Macaca fascicularis: one gene and its partners. The protein of the gene in region 1 binds, or shares a complex with, the protein of each later gene. Links are inferred from orthologs where the notes say so. Each region holds a gene or a part of one and is shown on either strand. Other genes may lie near its edges.

Evidence for each region. Proteins that work in one complex are often made in the same cells at the same time.
Region 2: FAM8A1 (region 1) and OS9 share a complex: the UniProt entries of both Homo sapiens proteins name them as parts of the HRD1 complex. The link is inferred for Macaca fascicularis from reciprocal best matches to the Homo sapiens genes FAM8A1 and OS9.
Region 3: FAM8A1 (region 1) and UBE2J1 share a complex: the UniProt entries of both Homo sapiens proteins name them as parts of the HRD1 complex. The link is inferred for Macaca fascicularis from reciprocal best matches to the Homo sapiens genes FAM8A1 and UBE2J1.

What each region holds. Positions count from the first base shown.
Region 1 is NC_088378.1:155,292,692-155,296,727, forward strand, and holds the start of FAM8A1 (protein FAM8A1), read right to left. Parts: upstream 2,801-4,036; 5' UTR 2,682-2,800; coding exon 1,970-2,681; intron 1,666-1,969; coding exon of another isoform or gene 1,661-1,665; exon of another isoform or gene 1,303-1,660; intron 534-1,302; coding exon 413-533; intron 1-412. UniProt on the Homo sapiens protein: Plays a role in the assembly of the HRD1 complex, a complex involved in the ubiquitin-proteasome-dependent process of ER-associated degradation (ERAD).
Region 2 is NC_088385.1:64,538,317-64,540,824, reverse strand, and holds the end of OS9 (protein OS-9), read right to left. Parts: intron 1,976-2,508; coding exon 1,811-1,975; intron 1,669-1,810; coding exon 1,556-1,668; intron 1,276-1,555; coding exon 1,150-1,275; 3' UTR 501-1,149; downstream 1-500. UniProt on the Homo sapiens protein: Lectin component of the HRD1 complex, which functions in endoplasmic reticulum (ER) quality control and ER-associated degradation (ERAD).
Region 3 is NC_088378.1:86,048,087-86,051,586, forward strand, and holds part of UBE2J1 (ubiquitin-conjugating enzyme E2 J1), read left to right. Parts: intron 1-262; coding exon 263-394; intron 395-2,488; coding exon 2,489-2,573; intron 2,574-2,724; coding exon 2,725-2,830; intron 2,831-3,500. UniProt on the Homo sapiens protein: Catalyzes the covalent attachment of ubiquitin to other proteins. Functions in the selective degradation of misfolded membrane proteins from the endoplasmic reticulum (ERAD) and is essential for cells to recover from ER stress.

The DNA.
Region 1 (4,036 bases):
CCCATTTGGAAATGCCACCTAGTTGATTATTAATTCACCTACCAAAAGCTCTTTATACCTTTGTCTTTAGAGACTCTACAAGATAGCAAGAAGGAACAGGATAGTGAGAGGTAAATTAGTTCCTGGCCTAAAAGAATAGGTGAATAAAATCAAAGCAGGTTTGGAGGCTCTTTTTACCTATTTTTGATAGGTGAGATTCCCATACATCTTATAGAATTCAGTAAGTTATTTTTTTCCTTTGTAAATATTTCTTAAAATCAACAAGAAAACAATAAATGTGACAAAGCTCTTATAAAGAAATCATGACACTGACAAGCCCATTATCCATATAATCACATGTAGACAGAATGTAACAAAACAAGATCTTTGAAGAGTAGAAATTAAAACCTTTCTGCAAATGTCCTCAACTTACTTTATCCCACTGAGGTGCATAATGCTTAAGACAATGGTTGCTTTTATAAAGAAGAGAATAAAGAAATCCACCATCTCTGCCATAAATCTGTGGGCCAAGGATGGAATAACATATTCTCTGCCTGTAAATTAAAAAAAAAAAAAAGTTAGGAAAAATGAATCATTTCACACAAGCCTTGGAACACAAGCCATGTAATGAATTGGTAAAGAAAGTCAAGGTACAACTTAAAAAACAGTATTTATAACCTTGCAGCAACTATTGATATTGATTCCACCAAGAACCCATGTTACTAAAAGAGAGTAACAGTACTCCACTATTTACTGAACTTAAAAGTTTGCTTTCATCACTTTAACGTTTAAAAATTGATTTCACACGGCCAGGCACAGTGACTCACATCTGTAAACTCAGCACTTCGGAAGGCCGAGGCGGGCGGATTGCTTGAGGCCAGGAGTTCCAGACCAGTCTGGCCCTTGCCAACATGGCGAAACCCCGTCTCAACAAAAAATACAAAAATTAGCCGGGCGTGGTGGCGCATGCCTATAGTCCCAGCTACTAGGGAAGCTGAGGTGGCAGGATGGCTTGAACCTGGGAGGCAGAGGTTGCAGTGAGCCAAGATCGCGCCACTGCACTATCCAGGTTGGGCGATAGAAGCAGACCTTGTACCCCGCCCAATTTCCCCCCAAAAAACTGATTTCACAGATAAATTCGATTAGGGTATCCAATATATTTCACTAGAATTCTAACGAGGAGAATCCAGGTGATCACATCTAAGTGACAACAAAATTAAACATTTTTTAGTGCAAATCAAGGTTAAATATTGGCAATTAGTACAAAGTAAATCCCTGTAACGCCCCCCTCATTTTTTTTTAGTTTTGCTTTCTTTAAAATAATCCCAATGAGTATCTGTCTGTCATCCTAAATTCTGACTGGCATCAGAGGCATCTATTAGTTCTTGTCCCATCTATCTGTGGCTAAATAAACGAAAAGTCTTAACTAATGGATTAAATAGTAAACTAAGAAGTGTACCTAATTCAAAATATTCTAGTTCACACACAGAAGCAAAAACAATTCCACAATATACAAGATCAATAAGCCCGGGCTTCCTAACTCCACTTGTATCCATGTCAATCTCCTTTTATATCCGGTCAGTTCCACTGTCCTAAGTTGCCAATGTCTGAAGAATTTCCAGCATCACCAGTCGAGCCCCTCCAAAACTGGGTTTGCCATTTGCGAATTTAGCTTTGGACCTCACTCTGCAGAGCATGAAAACCAAAGGAAGAGGATGGTTTGAAGAGCAATTTCTTTTCACGAAGAAACAACTAGTCCCATGAGTAAAGGAATCAATTCGGAGTGCCAGGTCTAAAGAACAATGAAACCCGTATTGCCTCCTTGTACATTTTGGGAATTTAGGGCCTGGACAAACGATAGCTAGTGCACGGGCAGGATGATCAATTAGAGTAGCAGCAGCAGTTACAGGTCTAAAAAGCGTGCCAGCTCCACCTCACAGGTCCCCGAAGACACTTCTACTCTGCCCCGCCTCCACCTCGCGCTTCTCACCTGCCTGTCGCCCGGTCTCGCTCGGGCTTCGCGAAGGGGCTGCGGATCCTACCCTCGTCACTGGAGTGGCCCGGACCGACGCCTGCACATGAGGAGCCCGGGGTCCCAGGCCCGCGACTGGAGCAGGGGTGCTGATGCCGGCAGCTGTCCGCGGGTCAGGCCCCACGGCCCCGGGACTCAGGAAGTAGAAGGGGTTGTAATAGCCCAGCTGCGGGGGCGGCGGCGCCGCGGCCTGGGGAACAGGAGCGCCGCCCGAAGGGAAGCTCTGCGGGGACGGCTGGGGGCTGCAGTAGGCGGGGAAGGCGGCCAGGCCGCTGTGCCAGGTGAGGTAGCCGCAGTAGGACTGCCACAGCCACTCGTGCACTTGCCGGGAGTACTCGCGGGCGCTCAGCCGCGCCGGTCTCTCCCGCGGCGCCGCGGCTTCGGGCGCCTCGCAGTCCGCCTGCTCCTGCAGCCCGGGACCGGAGCCGGAGGCCGCCTCCCCGCGCTTCCTGAGCTCGCGCGGCGAATCCAATTCGTCGGTGGCGGCGGCGGCCGCGAGGCCCGGGGCTATGGGCCGACCCGGGGCCTGGGGTTCGGCTTGGGGGTCGTCGCGGGGGCATGGGACGGCGGTGGTAGCAGGGCCTTTCAGGGAAGGGACGAGCTCGTGGTCCCCTCCGCCATCGTCCTGCCCGGGAGGGCGGCCTCGGGCTTCCTCGTGCCCCTCGGCCATAGTCACCTCAGCAGCACCCTCCGGGGTACCTGTCACTGCTCCGTTTCCCTGCCCCAATAGCCCCTCCCGAACAGCCCGGTCGCCACCGCAGCAGCCGCAGGCGTCAACAATCCCCCGCCGGAAGCGGAAGCCCCGCCCCTCAGGAGCGTCGCCCGCCGCCGGGCGGAGCTGGGAAGGGAGGGCGGGGAGGTGCGTCTGCAGTCCCAGGTTCGGGCCCTAGTAGTCGCTGGCTTGTCGGTAACTGGGACGAGACCGTCGCCTCCTCCCTTTTACGGCTTTAAGTCTGTGGCCCGAGGCCTCTCTGTATGTTCACGTGGGGTTGGGCCTAGTTGTCCTGGGAGAAACTGCAGATGGATGAGGAGCATTTCCGAGACAGGTCCCAGGGCCAGCGCAGCCTTTTCTGTTGCAGAACCGCGACTGTTGTTTTGTGCTCCATTCCAGTTAACCATTAGTACTCGAGAAGGTGGTACAGAACGCATCTATCCCCTTAGAAGATAAGAAATTAAAAACCAAACTAAACTGGAACCTATATTAATATATTGGTACCACTGAGACGTAGGAAAATATATTAAAATATAAGTAGTGAGGTGCTATGTATAATTCAGAGGAAGGGGAAATTATGCACAGGCTAGACTAGTAACAAAAGGCTCCAAAGCCTGGGATATACTGAGGACCTTTCCATAACAGAAAATGAAAAGGCACCTAAATTTGAGACTAGATTTGAGGAAAGGCACAGTTCGCTGGAGTAGAAAGTGTGTGTCTACCGCAGTGGAAAGTAAGTTTTCGGAAATGCAGACTAGCTCCAGGGTGAGGACAAAATTCAGCTTTTAAATCAGTATAATCCCTCTTCTTTTACATTTGAAAATCTCTGCAGCGATATGTCATTGTATCCCCAGCACCATACAAAGGACACAGAAGGGCCAAATACTGTGGGAATATTTATTAATGATATTAATGATGATGCTGTCCGGGCCAAGGGAAAACTTCGCCCTCCGAAGGTTCTCTGAAAGTCACTGACAGGAGGCAGTTAATAGGAGAGAAGACATAGACATTGATTTGATCATCGTTTTATGTGACACGGTAGCCTTCAGAATGAAGACCCAAAGATAACAAGGGAGATTGTGTATTTGTATGCTCAGGTTCAACAAAGCATGGACAGCCGTATAGCAAAATGATTGGACAAAAAACACTCTAACGCCAACAGGCAGGAAGCCCAGCAAGGCCTGTCTAGATTCTCCTTGGGCTCTCTGCAGCATTCCTTCCTTCTGGGTATGGAACAGGACCCTCTGGAATGGGGGCTGTGGCCTACAACAGTTAAACAAGGTAGATCAGATAATTTCTTTCTTTTATTTTCC
Region 2 (2,508 bases), on another chromosome or scaffold:
AGGCCCACATACCCTTGGCACACTAAGAAACTGGCATGTGTGGGCAGCAGCCCTCTCTCTGGGCATGCCCAGAGGTGGAGGTCTTTTTGGGAAATGTTGAAAGGACAGGTGGGTAGGGGTGTGGGTGACAAATGGAATCTGGAGCATGCTGTGGGCGAGACCGCAGCAGAAGGAAGATCCCCGCTGTGGGGAACTCCATGGTGTGCATTTTGGCTTTCAGGGTATAAAGGGGGAAATGATAGGGAAAGACTTGGTGCAAGAGAAGGGAAGGAACAGAAACAGACAGATGAGAAAAAGAAGATGACGGTACTGCAAGTGTTTCTTTCAATCCTTGCCAGGCCAGGCTTCATTTAGCCACTCTGGTCTCTTCCTGCATACCCCAGCCCCCGTTTATAGTACCTGGGGAGTGGGGAGCAAAGAACAGGATCAGAGCATGATCTGAAAAGAACACTGAGCCTCCTCCCTGCTGGAACCCCCACCCCACAAAAAAGGTTGACAGATTGATGGTCCAGTTCTTTATTTAGAAACCTGATTGTTCAAGAACATGGTGGATGCTTCACAGCTTTTTCACTGGGATTGTGCTGGAGGTGATGGGCAGCATTCTCCCATTTCCTCAGCAACAGAGGTGAAGGCTCCTCAACTCAGAAGCACAAATTGTAGGGGACAGGGTGGGCAGGGAAAGGGAGAAGGACATCTCAAGGCAATTCAAGAGAAGGGGGTAAAGCAACTCCAAACAGCACTAAGGGCAGGTGGAGGCCTGCTTGCTCAGTGCCTGCTAAGTGTCCTGCCCTCCTTGCTCTCTCTACACACCTCCACTCAGAAGATCCTACCGAATCTCCAGGTAGGGAGCAGGGAATATCCTATCATTAGAGTACAATAACAAGAAAAGCCACAGAGGAAGAGGAAGAGGATTGAGCGAAAGCTCAGGAGAGCAAACATCACAGGCCGGGTGAGCTCTCAAGGTGGCTGCCAGCTGGGGTGGCAGCATTCACCCAGGGCCCCCACACCCACAGAATTGCCCGAGAGGTCCACAGCTCAGCTCCACTCTGCTGTTTGGCCCTCAGGGGTCCCAGGGTGGGGAGGTGGGGAGGAGGCAGGCCAGTCCAGGAAGACTCTGGATTCTATGAAGGGTCAAGTGCAGTGTTGGTCTCAGAAGTCAAATTCGTCCAGGTCCCCTGTGCCCTCCCCACCTTGAGAGCCCCACACCCGGCGGTAATTGCTCTCCAGCTCTTTCTGCCGCTGGCGTTCCTTCTGGGCCTCTTCAGCTCCCGGCACCTGGTGGGAGAGGGTAGAGGTGGGCTGGAGCTACTCGCTGTTGAGCCCAAGGAAGTCCTGGGCCAGGCAGCTGGGGGAAGGCAGGGAATGAGGACACCCATGTCCTGAGAGGCTCTTCCTGCATGGCAGCACTCTGAATCACTGGAACCCTAGCCTTGTCTTACAGATCAGGAAACGGAAGCTCAGCAACGGCATGGCTGGGGCAGGCCCACACCTCCACTCCAGGTGGGCTGGGGACAGGAGGCCTGGGGGCCAGGACTTGGGGGTAGAAGCCTCTCACCAAGATATTGAAGAAGATCTCCTTGAGGTTTCTTGTGTCCTCATCAGTCAACCAACGTGCACCCTCTTCAGTTCCTTCAGCCCATGGGCGGACAATTTTGATCTCAATTTTCCCTGGAAAGGAGCAGTATGCAGTGAGAGGAGAGGATGGCTGGGAGCCTCAGGGCAGGCCCCCTGCCCCACTGGTCCCAGCCCCTCCACTTCCGGCAGCTTGCCCTTCCGACAGTGCTGGGTCCAGCCGCCCTCCAGGGCCCACCTGCAGCTGTGAGTCCCTCCCTCTCCAGCAGCTCCTTCACCAGCCCCTCGATTTGTTTCAGCTGTGGGTTTTCCCGTTTCATCTCGAGGACAGTCAGATCCTGATTAGGGCCTCCGAGACGGAGCTTGGTGACCCGGACCCGGACTCTGTGCTCAGGATCCTCCTCTTAGAGGGGGAGACACACAGGGAAACACAAAGCAGAGGCATGACTCCAGGGTTAGGGGTGGCAGCTTTGGCAGCTATTCCATCTCAACATGTGTATGAGCCAGGGCTCAAAAAAATGTGTGCCCCCACTCCCAATTCAGCCTATAGAGCTCCCTCCACCAATTGCTGCCTTCCGTCTTCCCACCCTACCCAATAATTCTGCCCATCACCTATAGGAAAACAAATGTTTTCTGAAGCCAAAAGCAGGCCACCTGCACCAACAAAGTTTTGTCTGAAGAAGCAGGTTGGAAAAGTGTGGTCTCCTCCTCCATATGTTAGGACTTTAAAGACATTTCAATGTTTATAGGGAGAATGGGATGGAGGGTTTGAAACTGGAACATTTCATTTGGAACATCTGATGTCCACACCCATAGGACCCTATGAAATGGACACAAGGGGATGCAAGAAGAAGACATAATTTAAAGTCTATCCAGGCTATTGGCTCATGTGCGGCTGGGCTCTCCTATTCGTGCCCTGACAGCTGGGGACTCTCT
Region 3 (3,500 bases), about 69 Mb from region 1:
CTATGAATATATAACAGAAATTTTTAATGTGTTTATTATAAAAGATTTTAGCTCAATGGAACATGAAAGCTAGATTAAGTAGCTTTCACTTATAAATTTAATTTATCACTTACATTCTCAAGACATCTCATACATTAGAAACTATACTAGCAATAATATAAAGCATTTAGTTTTTCTTGCTTGGTAATATTTCTGATATTGAGATAAAATGATCAAACTTTTTAATATTATTAATTCCTTGTGGATTATTGTTTTTGTTCAGGATAACCTTTTTGAATGGCACTTCACGGTTAGAGGGCCTCCAGACTCCGATTTTGATGGAGGAGTTTATCATGGGCGGATAGTACTGCCACCAGAGTATCCCATGAAACCACCAAGCATTATTCTCCTAACGGTAAGAATTTTGGATTTTTAGAATGCTCATGACTTAACTCTTCCTGGTAGGTGCAAAATATAGTAAGCAAATCATTTTCATTAAGAAATATTAGAACAGTATAATTTTGCTTTTGGGGTCCAGGCCCTGGGACTACAATTTTTTTCCTCCAAAATAATTCCTAGGAAGCTGATGCATCCGAGAAGTAAAAATGATACAACTGAATGCATAAATGTCACATCATGGTTGTTAGGATTCAATGAATTAATATATGAAAAGCGCTGGGCATACACATCTGGCACTTCATAAGTACTCACTAAAGGTTAGCTAATGTTATTGTGCCTTGTAATCACATTGTCTCTTTCAACTTCCCACCTTTCTTACACTCTCTTCCTCAGTTTTCTCATCTTTACAAAGAGAATAATGATACCTACCTCACTGAGTTTATGTGGGATGAAAAGTATCAATATCTTATTGTATAGCTCTTAGAATAGAGTCTGACACAGAGTATTCAATAAGTGTTAGCATTATTATTACTATTTATATCTCAGAATTTCTCTCTTTCTCTCCAACTTTACATGTCTTTTCTTCATGTGAAGGAAAAAAATTTTTTTTTTAGAGACACGGTCTTGCTCTGTTGCCCAGGCTGGAGCGCAGTGGCCCAACATAGCTCACTGTAGCCTCAAACTCCTGGGCTCAAGCAATCCTCCCACCTCAGCCTCCTGAGTAGCTGGGACTATAGGCACATGCCACTGTGCCCAGCTAATTAAAAAGCTTTTTGGTAGAGACATGGTCTCATTGGTCTTGAACTACTGGCCTCAGGCAATCCTCCCGTCTCAGCCTCCCAAAGTGCTAGTCACCATCATACCTGGCCAAGGAAAACTATTGATCTAATTCCTCTTCAATTGTTATGCTTTTCTTCTCTCATTTCCTTTAATTTTAACTATGTTTAATTATCCCCTAACCTTGAAAGAAGCAAAAACAAACACAAAAACCTTCCCCTGTATCTGTTACCACTTTAAGCTGTGCCTATTTTTCTCTTTGGTAACCTCCAAGGCATCCTTTCTCTAGTGTAGCCTGCTGCAGTCCACCTTCCACACATAGTGCCCTGTTGAAACATGAAACTACACCAGTCTCAGAGATTAGTTTGAGAAATCTCACTGCTTCTTCTCAGTCTTCATCCTGTTCTATCTAAGTTAAACATCTGACCCACATGGAGTAGCAAATGGTGAAACAACAGGTATTCGTCAATAAATACCAAATTAATGCTACTTTTACCTCTATTTTGTATAACAGAGAGAGCATTTGTTTAAGAGCCAGTAGGCCTAGATTCTGACTGGTGCTCTTTCCATTACACTATGGGTGGGTTACATAATGTCTTTAAAATTCAGTTTTCTCATCAGTCAAAAGGAATTTTGTGTTTGGTAATTGTAATCACACCATAAAGTACCTGACATATAGAAGCTGCTTAACAAGTATTAGCTGATACTCCTCTCTTCTTCTTTTTTTTTTTTTTTTTTCTTTTCTTTTCTTGGGGACAGGGTCTCACACTGTCACCTAGGCTGGCATGCAGCAATGCAGTCATGGTTCACTGTGGCCTTGAACTCCTGGGCTCAAGGAGTCTTCCTGTCTTAGCCTCCCAAGTAGGTAGGACTAGAGGCACACGCCACCACTCCTGGCTAATTTTCTTTCTTTTTTTTTTTTCTTTTTCTGTAGACAGTGTCTCACTAGGTGGCTCAAACTGGTCTTGAACTCCTGGCCTGAAGTGATCCTCTCGCCTCAGCCTCCCAGAGTGCTGAGATTACAAGCGTGAGCCACTTCGCTGGCCAGTAAAACTTTATGTGTTAATTATTTAGATTTCAGTTGTGCAACTCAGTTTCAAAAGGTGCTGTAAAACACCTTCTAACAACAGCTTTTATTATTCAGCATCCAACAAGTATTTTTGGAGTCTATAAGGACAAAAAAATCTGTGCCCCATTAGAGGTTACATTTTTTTAAAAAATCTTTTTAAGATAATTTCTAAAATTATTATATATAAATAGTATATTTTTACTTAGAAAGTATAAACATTAAACACATGTATTTAATTTTCTAGATGTATTGTTTATTCCTCAGGCTAATGGACGATTTGAAGTGGGCAAGAAAATCTGTTTGAGCATCTCAGGACATCATCCTGAAACTTGGCAGCCTTCGTGGAGTAGTAAGTGTTAATTTATAGTGAATATAAATCTCTTATAACTTCAGTCAATTCATAGTTATGAAGTATAATACTCTCTTTTTTTTCTTTTTCCAGAATAAACCCAGTTGCTTTTACAAAGCAATTTAGATTGATATTTACTTTTTTATTTCAGTAAGGACAGCATTATTAGCCATCATTGGGTTTATGCCAACAAAAGGAGAGGGAGCCATAGGTTCTCTAGATTACACTCCTGAGGAAAGAAGAGCACTTGCCAAAAAGTAAGTTTTGCATTTCATTCTTGTTGAGGTCTGAATGGTATTCAGGGTAATGGCTATTAGGAGGTAGGGCCTGCCTCTTACTATGTGACTTACTTTCTGAGCGACTGTAGCTACAGGATCTTATCTCAGTTTTGCTCTTTTAGAAATTCAGTTGTAATAATTTCCTTGGAGTGACCAGAATCTAAGTAATTTATTTAATGCTATCTAGTCTTAAAAAGTCGTTGATACTATTTCACTATTTTTTTTTTAATACAGTGGGAGATATATTCTCCTGGAAAACAATACCAGTCATTTGTTTCCACTTATATGGAATTACAGATGGAAAAGAACCAGAGCAATTATTTGTAGCTTTCCACAAGATTACAAACCCCTTGAGGGCCGGGAGAGAATCCACTTTATCCATCTTTGCATCTAGCTCATAGCAAGTGCTTAATAAGTGATCTGGAATAAAGCAAAAGAGATTTTCTCTATCAAGTTGTGATTGCCCAGGGGCAATCACAAACAGAGAAGTGCTGCCTTCTCTGTTTTTTTCAGGTGCAGGTGTATTTTTGTCTATATAACCAAGATCAGTCCTTCCGTTCAGAGTAGCCCCTCTTTGAGTAGCGCTGATACCTAATTTTTGATGTTGATAATTTTTCTGCTCTGGAGTCTGCTGCCTACCACCCTTCAG